Linked DNA regions of Caenorhabditis elegans. The protein of the gene in region 1 purifies or fractionates together with the protein of each later gene. This does not show direct contact. Each region holds a gene or a part of one and is shown in the gene's direction. Other genes may lie near its edges.

Region 1 (5,735 bases):
TATAGACTAACCACTTTCAAGCGACTCTGATATCTTGAGTGGTCCTCGCAAAGCGAAGAGAAGCACTGCAACAAGTGCGATCCATAGGAGCCACAGGAAGGTCCATGAACAGGCCATGACCCCTAAAACACTCCAATATTAGGAAATATAAAAACTAAAAAGGCTTTGAGAGAAAAAAAAATCGATAAGAGATGAAATTGATCGGATCATTTTGCTCATTTTCGTGATGTGTAGGAAGCTAAAATTAAAAGGCTTTAATTTTGTTTGAAAGTTCTCAATTTCTTGTACCGCGCATGAAATAATAGTCAAAAATATTACTTTTAAGGCAAGATGCAACTTATTATCCGACAGCCGGTTGGTGGTTGTTGGTGACGTGCCAAAACAACGCAGAGAGAGAGACCGCGAGACATGGAAGACGGACGAGAAATCGATTCAATTCAAACCCTACGGCCGCGGCCTTGAGCAAATTTGTATTCTTTTACGTTAGCTAAAATATTTAACATTTCCGCATAAAACGCAAATTTTCATATTCGCAGCCTTAGTCTTTTTGAATTTACAGATTATTTTACGCTTGGTCGCTAATATATTATTTAAAACATATGTTTCTAATTTGAGTTTACTTTTGAAAGTTTTAAATCTAGAATAAACATTTTTAGTTAGAAAAAACGTTTTTTAATCAACCTATATCAAAATGCACGTAAGAATCGTGTCAATTTTCAATTCCGTTAGCTCAGGATTTTGCAAAACGAGAAAGGAATAAAACAGTTTCATCGGATAAAACAAATTCAATTTTTAATTTAAATTAAAAGAGTTTGAAATAAAAATAGAATTTATCGAACAAAAGTCGATAATTGGAAAACAATTGAAACTTTGTACGCAATTATTTGAAATCTGTGCAATCACCGTTGCTTACCGTAGTCGTGTAGTCCTCTCGGACAACTTTGATGCTTGGCTGATTTTTATTTCTGGAGTTTTTTTTTGTTTCTCCGGAGAAACAAGTTGATTAATCATTACTTTTTTAGTCAATCAATTATTATTTTATTCTCAGATGATTGTGGTGGCGCAGCATGTTCCGGATATGCAGCTAAATCCGATGCAAAGATTATTCGCTCCTCAAACCATGACAGATCTTGTTTCGAATATTACCGCTCCTATGACTGATGTGGAAGAAGCTTTGTTCAATCAAAGAGGAATGAAAGAGGTACAATTATTCTTCCAGTATAAAATTACAACACATATTCAATTTTCAGGCTCCCTTTCGCGATCTGGATCGAAGTGGAAAAGCGGTTTGTAGGAAAAACAAATTAAAAATGTGTCCATTCGGTCCAACATGCCCTCTTCGTCACATCGATGGAGAAAAAGCTGTCGTATGTAAGCATTGGCTTCGTGGTCTTTGTAAGAAAGGAGATCAATGTGAATTCTTGCACGAATATGACCTCACAAAAATGCCCGAATGCTTCTTCTTCTCTAAATACAGCGCGTGCAGCAATCGAGAATGCCCATTCCGACATATTGATCCCGAAACGAAAATGAAAGACTGTCCATGGTACGATCGTGGATTCTGCAGGCATGGACCATACTGCAAACATCGCCATCGTCGTCGTGCAGTCTGCCCCAACTATCTCGCCGGATTTTGTCTACAAGGACCAGATTGTCAATATGCTCATCCTTCATTCGGTCTGCCATCATTCGAGAATATAGCTGTCAGTCATGCCAAACCAACATACAGTCAAGCTATTACTTGCCACAATTGTCATGAAAGAGGCCACAAGGCAACTACATGTCCACATCTTCCAGGACAAACAAGACAAAATCAAGATCATCACCATCGTGTTGATCTCTCACTTATACCAGATAAAAAGAATCTATCAGATGTTACTTGTTACAAGGTAGGTTCATTTTAATCATAAAAAAAGTAAAATAATTCAATTTTAGTGCGGAGAGAAAGGTCACTACGCCAACAGATGCCACAAAGGAGCTCTCGCATTCTTGTCAAATACTGCTCACCTGGCTCACGAACAAAGAGAAAAAGATGAAAAAGAACAAGGAAGGATCAATAATATGCTAAGGCCGCCAATGTGAACATTGTCGAATATAGGAGAACGGGTGGAATCTGTTATTTTTGTTGTTTGTCAAGAATTCGAGACTGTTGGAATAAAAATTTAACCTTCCAATTATTTAATTTGTTGTTTTTTTAATATTCTTGGTTTGAAACCACAATTTTACTGATTAACATTACAAATTTATTTTATAGAGTTATATTAAGCTAACATTATTCAGATGACTCGAAAAAGACCAGCTCTTGCAGAACCGGTTTCATCTTCTCGATCACGGGTAACGAGAAGATCAACAACAGGTGCACCTTCTTCAAAAAAGAAGCGTTCACCTGAACCGGAATCTGATGCAGATTCTGAAGATGATTACGATGGCCCATCGACATCCCAAACCAAGAAATTGAAGCGGGGAAATTCATCGACGAATCGCGGAAAAGCAGCTAATAAGACAAAACGAGGATCTTTTCAAGTTAAACAAGAAATCATGGATGACGATGAAAATGAGGAAAAAATAGATGGAGAAGTAGAGAATGGTATAACATCCAGAGAACATTCACCTGATCCATCTACGTTCAAAAAGACAGCGAAATTACAAACTAAGAAGAAAAAGAAAAAAGAAAGCCCGCCGGAAACTCCACCAACATCACCAAGTCCATCACCATCGCGTTCGGTGTCTCCGTCTACAACAAAATCAGATATTTCTTCGAAAAAAGGACGCAAGGCTGTTGTAAATTCAGTATCAAAAGTGAAAATCGAAAAAGAATCTACACCAGTAAAAACGAATGGAAGAAATTTACCTCCTAAACGAAAAAAGAAGCCAGTTGAAGAAGAAACTGCAGAAGAAATTAAACTTCGTGAACGAGCTGAACGTAAAGCGAGGAGGATAGAAGAAGCTAAAAATCGTCCGAAACTAACTATTGAACAAAAACTGGCAAAACTTCGGAAGAAAAAAGAGCGAAGAGAACGGAGAAAAGAGCAAGAAAAGGAAGAATCGATGCGGCAGAAATATGGGCAACGAAAAATCAAAGCAGAAGCCAGTAAATGGAATTTTGGTCCGATATCATCGATTAATCAACGAAGGAGGGACGAAATGATGGCTTATTTTCCAAAAGCGAATTTTTTGGCCGAAGATGGTGTACCAAAAGTGATGAACAATTTTCGAAGAGCAACAGTGAAATATAATATGGAAGTTTTGAATCCATTCATTACGTGTGGAATTTGTGATGTGAGTTTTTAGTTTTAATTTATAAGTCCAAATATTTAAAAAAAAAACCAGATCATAAATTAAACTTTAAAGATCGGTTAAATTTTTACTTTGAATTTGAAGTTTTCTGAATTGAATTATCAGAAATTTCTGTATTTAAAAAAAAAAGATTGAAATAAAAAAAAATTGAAAAGAATTAGGATTTCTTGATTAAAAAAAATTACATCGTGTTTGTGAACCAGAATAAAAGAGAATAATAACCTCTCGAAGTGTTTTTCGGTAATTTTTAGTGCAATTTTTGAAAAAAATAGAAATTTTGGAAATTTGATCACTTTTTTGGATAATCTGAATTTGGAAATTACCAACACAAGTTAAAAATTTATTCAAAAAATTTTATAACTTTCCTTGAGTTGTTTGATCTCCTCTATTCCATTTTTTGTAGAAAACTAAACAATTATCGCACAAATCTCTGTTGATTTTTCTGGTTTTTCACAAAAAAATACTTCAATCACAAGCAAAGGCATTAAACTAAATGGAAATCACCATAGGAAAAAATTATATAAAAAAACTAATAAAAGTGAATTTTATTCCTACAGTCTTATAAATACAGAGTGCTTGGCGAGACAAAATTTGTATAATTTGCTTCCCTGGAAGCCCATGAAAAGGAAAAAAGATAACGAGGTTCCGCTACAAAATCATTCTCATTTCTAGAAGTTTTCGTTACGATCTAGACTTTAAATCTAGATGCATAAAATCAAAAAACCCATATTTCAAGAATTTAATTATATATTTTCAGGGCTACATCGTAGATGCAACAACAATAATTGATTGTATGCACACATTCTGCAAGAGTTGTCTTCTAACATATTTTGAATCGGATAACAACACGTGTCCAACATGTGGAACATTTATTCATGGATCTCATCCAACTCATTACGTGACTTATGATCGAGCAGTCAATGAACTTGTCAATCAATTTGTGCCAAAAATGGAGAACAACGAGTTGGACGTACGGAAAACGTTTCTAAGAGACTGCCGAGAAGCTCTAGGAATTGATACGGCAGCCGAAGATCGCGAGAGAAAAGAACGACTGGAAAGAGAACGAATAACTGGGACAAATAGATGTTATCCATTGGAAAGGCCTAGATTCTCACATCATAGAGATGATTGTCAAGTGACTGTTAATCTACTCCCCGGGACTGCTAATCTACCTCTTATCACTCGACCGTATGTTCGGTGCAGTGAGATGACTACTATGAATACTTTGAAAAAGTAAGGTTTTTCAAGTTGTATTCAAATTTTGGTTTTTAAAATTTTATCGTGATAACATAAAAGAAAAAATTAATTAAATTTGAAACAATATGACGATTTTGACTGATCTCCTCAGTTGAATTTCCGCGCATTATTCTCCGAAACCACGCCTATTTTTCCGTGCCGCACTTTTACTTTTTTTCAATTACAACTCAAAGTTTTGGTATTTCTCCGAAATTTCAAAAACAAATTTTTTCTAGATGTAAAAAAAATATTTATTTCAGGTTAAAAATTTTAAGGAAATTAATTTTTTTATAATTTTCCTTCTTTTTCAGATTCCTATCTCTTCAAATATGGGACGATCAGAGCCGGTATTCTGATTTAGACATGTTTTGTGACGGACAACTCATGGGAAAAGACTTTTCGGTTCGCTTTGTTTGGATGATGAAGCGCCGTGGTCAACCCAAATCTGAACCACTTATAATTCGATATCATATGACGAGAACATGATCTTCTTCTATCGATTTCTTCTTTCTTCTGAACTTCTCAAGAACAAATTCCCAGTTTTACCATGTTTTAGTACTGTACCATGTATCTCTATCTCTATATTTTGTCTCATTTCCTATGTTTTCATATTTATTAACTGCATTTTTTTTTCAAAAACAACCAAACCCCAAGATGAATAACACGTGTCTAATTAAATTTTTTTGTTGGTTTAAAATTTCTTCGATTTGAAAAACGTGAAGTTTCTTCTTCTGGAGAGAGATTTTATCGTCACCTTCAAAATATCCGCTTATTTCCTGTTTTCACCAGCCACATTTTGTTCTGCTTTTCGATAACATAGTGTTGGTAAGTGAGAGAGTGAAAGAGAAAGGTTCTCAGTGGGGCGCACTTGACGAATCCAGCTCACAGCGTTTACACCATTCCTTTGAAAGACATTGCCGAGTGGATTTGCAGACAAAATGGGAGTGAAAGCTGTGCTTGGCGATCTGCAAATCGTCGTGGAACGGCATTCAGACGTCTTACGGAATAATGCGTTACCGTTCAGATTTCTTGTTGTGCTACGAATTATTGGTGAGTTTTTGCCAATAATTATTATTACCCAGACGTGAGATTTTGCGATTTTTGGGCCAAAAATACCGTATCTGGTTTCAGCACGGCAAATAAAAATGCGTGTGCGCCTTTGAAGTGTACTGTAATTTCAAAGTTTTAGTTGCTGCGGAACT
Region 2 (4,670 bases), 7.4 Mb from region 1:
TGATGTCAGTGGAGCGGAGTACATTAAACTCCTCCAGAGAGAAGAATATCTTCCAGAAGATCAGCGACCAAAAGTGGAACAGTTTTGTCTCGCAGGAATGGCTGGATCTTATACGGATTTCCACGTGGACTTTGGTGGTAGTAGCGTCTACTATCACATTTTGAAGGTATAATTATTGAAGGAATATAAATGGTTCCGCGGATTGTGAACGTTCTGACCCCGCCAAAATGTTCTCAAATTAACGAATTTCGTTTGAAACTTCTGAAAAAATTCTCAATATTTTTTTGGTTTTTTTGGAGGTTCAAAATTAAAAAAAAAAGACTAAATTTGGCTAAAATCTCCTATTTTCCGAGATTTTAAAAGCATTTTTGAGAAGCCTCATCACGAAATTCGTTGATTTGAGCACATTTAGGATCGTAATGTTCGAAATACCCTTCTTTCAACTGAAATTGGTTTTCTCAAAGCTTATTAACTCTATTTTCAGGGCGAGAAAATCTTCTACATCGCCGCGCCAACGGAGCAGAACTTTGCAGCTTATCAAGCACACGAGACATCTCCGGACACCACTACATGGTTCGGTGACATTGCCAACGGAGCTGTTAAGCGAGTTGTGATCAAGGAAGGTCAGACACTGCTCATCCCGGCTGGTTGGATTCACGCGGTTCTCACTCCAGTCGATTCGCTCGTTTTTGGAGGAAACTTCTTGCATTTGGGAAATCTTGAGATGCAAATGCGCGTGTACCATCTCGAAAACGCGATTCGTAAGGAAATTAGAAGCGAGGAGAAGTTCTACTTTCCGAATTTCGAACTTCTTCATTGGATGTACATGCGAAACGTCTTGCTTGAGAAGATTACAGGTAAGCAATTTACTAGTTTGTATAGCGGTTTTACTAATATTCGCTACATTTCAGAAGCCAATCAGGAAGGTTCTGACATGCGTGAGCAGGAGAAGAATATTTGGACGGCGTCACAAATCATGAAGGCCGAAATGGAGCGCTGGATGGATCGAGAGTTGAGATTGGGTCCCGAGAAGAACGCGATCCTGCCCACTGACGACAAGAATAAGATTATGATCTCGGTGAGGAAGCAGATTGAGATTCAGACGAAGATTCAGAATGCCAAGAATAAGCCGATGGGGTTGAAGCAGAAACGTAAAAGTCGAGAATCCGCGGAGCGGGATGATGAGGACTATTGCCCGTCCAGCTCGACTGCCTACAAGAAGAAGTATACGAAAAAGGCTAAGAAGGACAATGATGATGCTCCGAAGGTGAAGAAGGCGAAGAAAGAGGAAGTTCCCGAGGAGAAGGTTCCGGTTCCTGAAGCAGCAGGTCCTTCCGAAGTTACAGCTCCATTGACCATCAAGATTGGAATGGGACCGACTGAAGATCAGAAGGGCGTTGTCCAGATATTCAATAATCAATGCACGTCGTCTGGAAGAAAAGTAAAGTTGAATCAGAACGTGGCCGACTATTGTGGATCCCATCTCGAAGCACGCGTCGAAGAGATTCCGGAAAAGGCGACGAAAAGCTTCCGCGAGCTTGACAACGAACTGGAGCGCTGTGAAGCTGTTCATTCCGGAGAGAAAATCAAGAAGGTTAAAGAGCCAAAGCCACCGAAGCAACCAAAAGAGAAAAAGGAGAAACCACCACGTAAGAAAAGATCGAAACCTTGAGAACTGTTTAATAATTTTTTTTTTCAGCAAAGAAAAAGGAAATGAGTTCCAGAGATCGCCTCATGAAGAAGCTCAAAATGTGAACGTCCTCTACCTCAAGATATGTGTGCACTTTGACGAAATATAAATCTCGTACAATTATAAAGTGCCCCCCGATCTTAATAGTAATTTCCCCGTATTTTTGACTAATTTTTACATTCGTTTTATTGTTTTATTCACACAATCCCATATTCTTTCACGCGGTTCTTTTGCATCCAAAAATTTGTACAAGACGATCTCCCGAATTTACTGACGGGGATTTTTTTGTAGTTTGAAAATACACACGCACAATAAAGCGTTGATTATGTTAATTTTTTTCCTTGATGTGAACATTGTTGAAAGTGAAATGCAAGAAAATATCTGCTTTTTAGACTTTAAACTTGGATTTCCTAGAAGAGATCTCTCTAGAGAGTGAACAGAGAATTAGAGAAACGAGGCAAATGCAAATGCAAAAAAAGCTCTATGGAACTACTTTTTTCAGATTTTGGAATTTATTATTTATTTTCGGGTTTTAAAATAGCTTGAAATGAGCGACATGAGCGAACAAAGTGTTGAAATTGCTTCTTCACAACTTGGAACCAAGGATTTGTAAGTAAAAATTCTAAAAATTTACATCTAGAGTTGGCTAAAACATTTTTATTTCAGCTGGGATCAACGATACGAGTTGGAACTTAAAAATTTCAAGCAACACGGAGATGAGGGAGAGGTGTGGTTCGGAACATCGTCTGAAACACGAATCGTAAAATATTTAATCGATTCGAAAACCGGCAAAGATGCAAAGATTCTTGATTTGGGATGTGGAAATGGATCGGTTTTGAGGAAATTGGTATGGATTTCGAGCTCAAAACCTCTGAAATTCAGTTTTTTTTCAGAGATCGAAAGGATTCCAGAGTCTGAAAGGTGTTGATTATTGTCAAAAAGCTGTTGATCTTTCTGCAGCCGCTTCGAAAGCTGAGCGAGAAGAGGAAGAAGACGAAGAATTAGTAGATATTGAATTTGAGGTGTAAATTTTTGAATTTTGCATCATTAAAAACGGAGAAGAGGTGTTTATTCATCTAAAACATAAATTTTTGCATAAATAACGAAAAAATAGCTAATTATTTTGAATTTCCGCGCAAATAAATTACCTAGTTCCGACATTTTCGCGTTTTCCGACTAATTTGATTGGTTTCTTTTGTAAAAACACCGTTTATCAATTTTCAGACATTTTCCCGGGAAGAAGGCCTGAAAAGCGCTAAGTTTACTTTAATTTATAATTTTTTTGCGGAAAACTTTCTAAAAATTGACAAGGGGTGTTTCAAAAGTTTAAGGAAAATATAAGAAAATCGAAGAAAACGCGAAATGTCGAAACTAGGTTATTAATTTGCTCGGGAATTTAAAATTAATTCACCAATTTGAATTTTTTCTGCAAACCGCCTTTAAATATTGTTTTTCTCGAAATTTCAAAGCAAAAACGTTTTCTTTCAGCAATTGGACATAACCACACCGCCAGCCGACTTTTTCTCCTCGAAATTCGATGTAATTCTCGATAAAGGCACATGGGACGCGATGAGCCTATCCGATGAACGAGAAGCTCGTCTGAAAGCCTACTTGGGTTTTCTTGATAATGGTCTGAGCGCTGGCGGTCGATTTGTGATATTCTCGTGTAATTTCACTTTGTAAGTAGGCCTAAAAAGGGCCTCGAAATGAAACTTCTAAATAGGTCACTCCAAAAAATTGAGCGGCATACGAGCACTTTGAAACTGAGAAAAGTTGATCTGAAACAGCTTCCAGACCATTTTTTTCCATTAAAAAGTTTATCAAAAATTTGCATTGTTTTTTGACCAAAAATTTTTTGACCAAAGTTTTCAGTTAAAAATTGTATTTTTTCAATTAGGGAGATTTAAAAAAGAAAATCAATTTAGATATTTCCAACAATTTTCCAAGGTTTCAGAAAAAATCGGAATTTTTTTTGACTGAACCAAATTTTTTGATTAAAAAAAGTCAGGATTTTTGAATTTTTTAAAAATCGTCTCAAATTGTTCATTAGATTCAAAAAAAATATTGAAAAAATGAGCTGAACCGAGTTCAGATCGATTTTTTCTAGTTCAAAGTTCTCGTATGCACCTAAATTTTTTGAAGTTACTCTTTCAAATGACATATGCAAGTTCAAATACTTCCATTGTAAGTCGAAATCAATTGTTTTCCTTTTCAGCGACGAGATGTGCTCGCAATTCGGTGGCGGCGGCGGCTCAACAAGTCTAGAGATCGTGTGTGAAGTACCAGCAAGTCACAGCTTCTCGTTTGGCGGAAAACAAGGTGTCACTTCAACGGGTGCCGTCTTCCGGAAGAAGACTCTATAAACACCTCTCCTCTGTGTTATTGTTGTTGTTCATTTCTTTTCCCCCTTCCCCCCCCCCCCCCACATTTCTCCCATCGTTTCTCAGTTTCTCAGTTGTTATATAAAAAAAAAGTAGGTTTCTCTTATCTCTCTCCCACTGTGTTCTCTCTTTAGCTAATCAGGTGCATCATCATCATCATTTTAACGCCAGTGTTGCTCGGCATGATGGATCTTGGAGAAAGTGGCAGCAGACCCTTCTCCTCCTAGACTACTTTTCGCGGAAAATGGGAGTTTGATAGGGCGGCGCCTTCTTAGACGCGGGGAGCTCCTTCGTCTCCAGGGACTCCTTTTGAAGGAAGGAGATGGGGTGCTTGTGACCCGAAGATGGGGGCTCACTTTCGGCTCCGAGCACAAGTAGCAGCAACAGCAGCAGCTGCAGAGATTCCACGTTGTGAAAGAGCTTCTCTTTTCGACCTTTCGTCGCCTCATTAATCATTCATTCAATCTTTTTTACATGTTCGTTTTCTACCTCTTGCTCCCCTCCCGTACGCACACTTTTCACACATTTCTTTAATCCATCTGAACATGCATATTTCTCTTGTTTTCTTTTTGTTTTCTGGGTGACTTCTTGGTGGTTTT

Evidence for each region.
Region 2: the proteins of mig-32 (region 1) and F29B9.1 fractionate together in Caenorhabditis elegans (co-fractionation; one large-scale study listed by BioGRID). This does not show direct contact.

What each region holds. Positions count from the first base shown.
Region 1 is NC_003282.8:12,088,759-12,094,493, reverse strand, and holds mig-32 (Polycomb group RING finger protein 3 homolog mig-32), read left to right. Parts: upstream 1-2,280; coding exon 2,281-3,279; intron 3,280-4,054; coding exon 4,055-4,530; intron 4,531-4,844; coding exon 4,845-5,019; 3' UTR 5,020-5,208; downstream 5,209-5,735. Other genes in the region: F11A10.5 (Protein ST7 homolog), read right to left, coding at 12-117; cpsf-4 (Cleavage and polyadenylation specificity factor subunit 4), read left to right, coding at 1,079-1,201, 1,251-1,889, 1,936-2,082; F11A10.6 (Transmembrane protein 115), read left to right, coding at 5,472-5,583. UniProt on the Caenorhabditis elegans protein: Component of a Polycomb group (PcG) multiprotein PRC1-like complex, a complex class required to maintain the transcriptionally repressive state of many genes, throughout development. Required for ubiquitination of histone H2A.
Region 2 is NC_003282.8:4,663,187-4,667,856, forward strand, and holds F29B9.1 (Protein-lysine N-methyltransferase CELE_F29B9.1), read left to right. Parts: upstream 1-2,192; 5' UTR 2,193-2,237; coding exon 2,238-2,299; intron 2,300-2,356; coding exon 2,357-2,537; intron 2,538-2,583; coding exon 2,584-2,712; intron 2,713-3,178; coding exon 3,179-3,369; intron 3,370-3,905; coding exon 3,906-4,053; 3' UTR 4,054-4,105; downstream 4,106-4,670. Other genes in the region: jmjd-1.2 (JmjC domain-containing protein), read left to right, coding at 1-166, 485-857, 912-1,649, 1,700-1,755.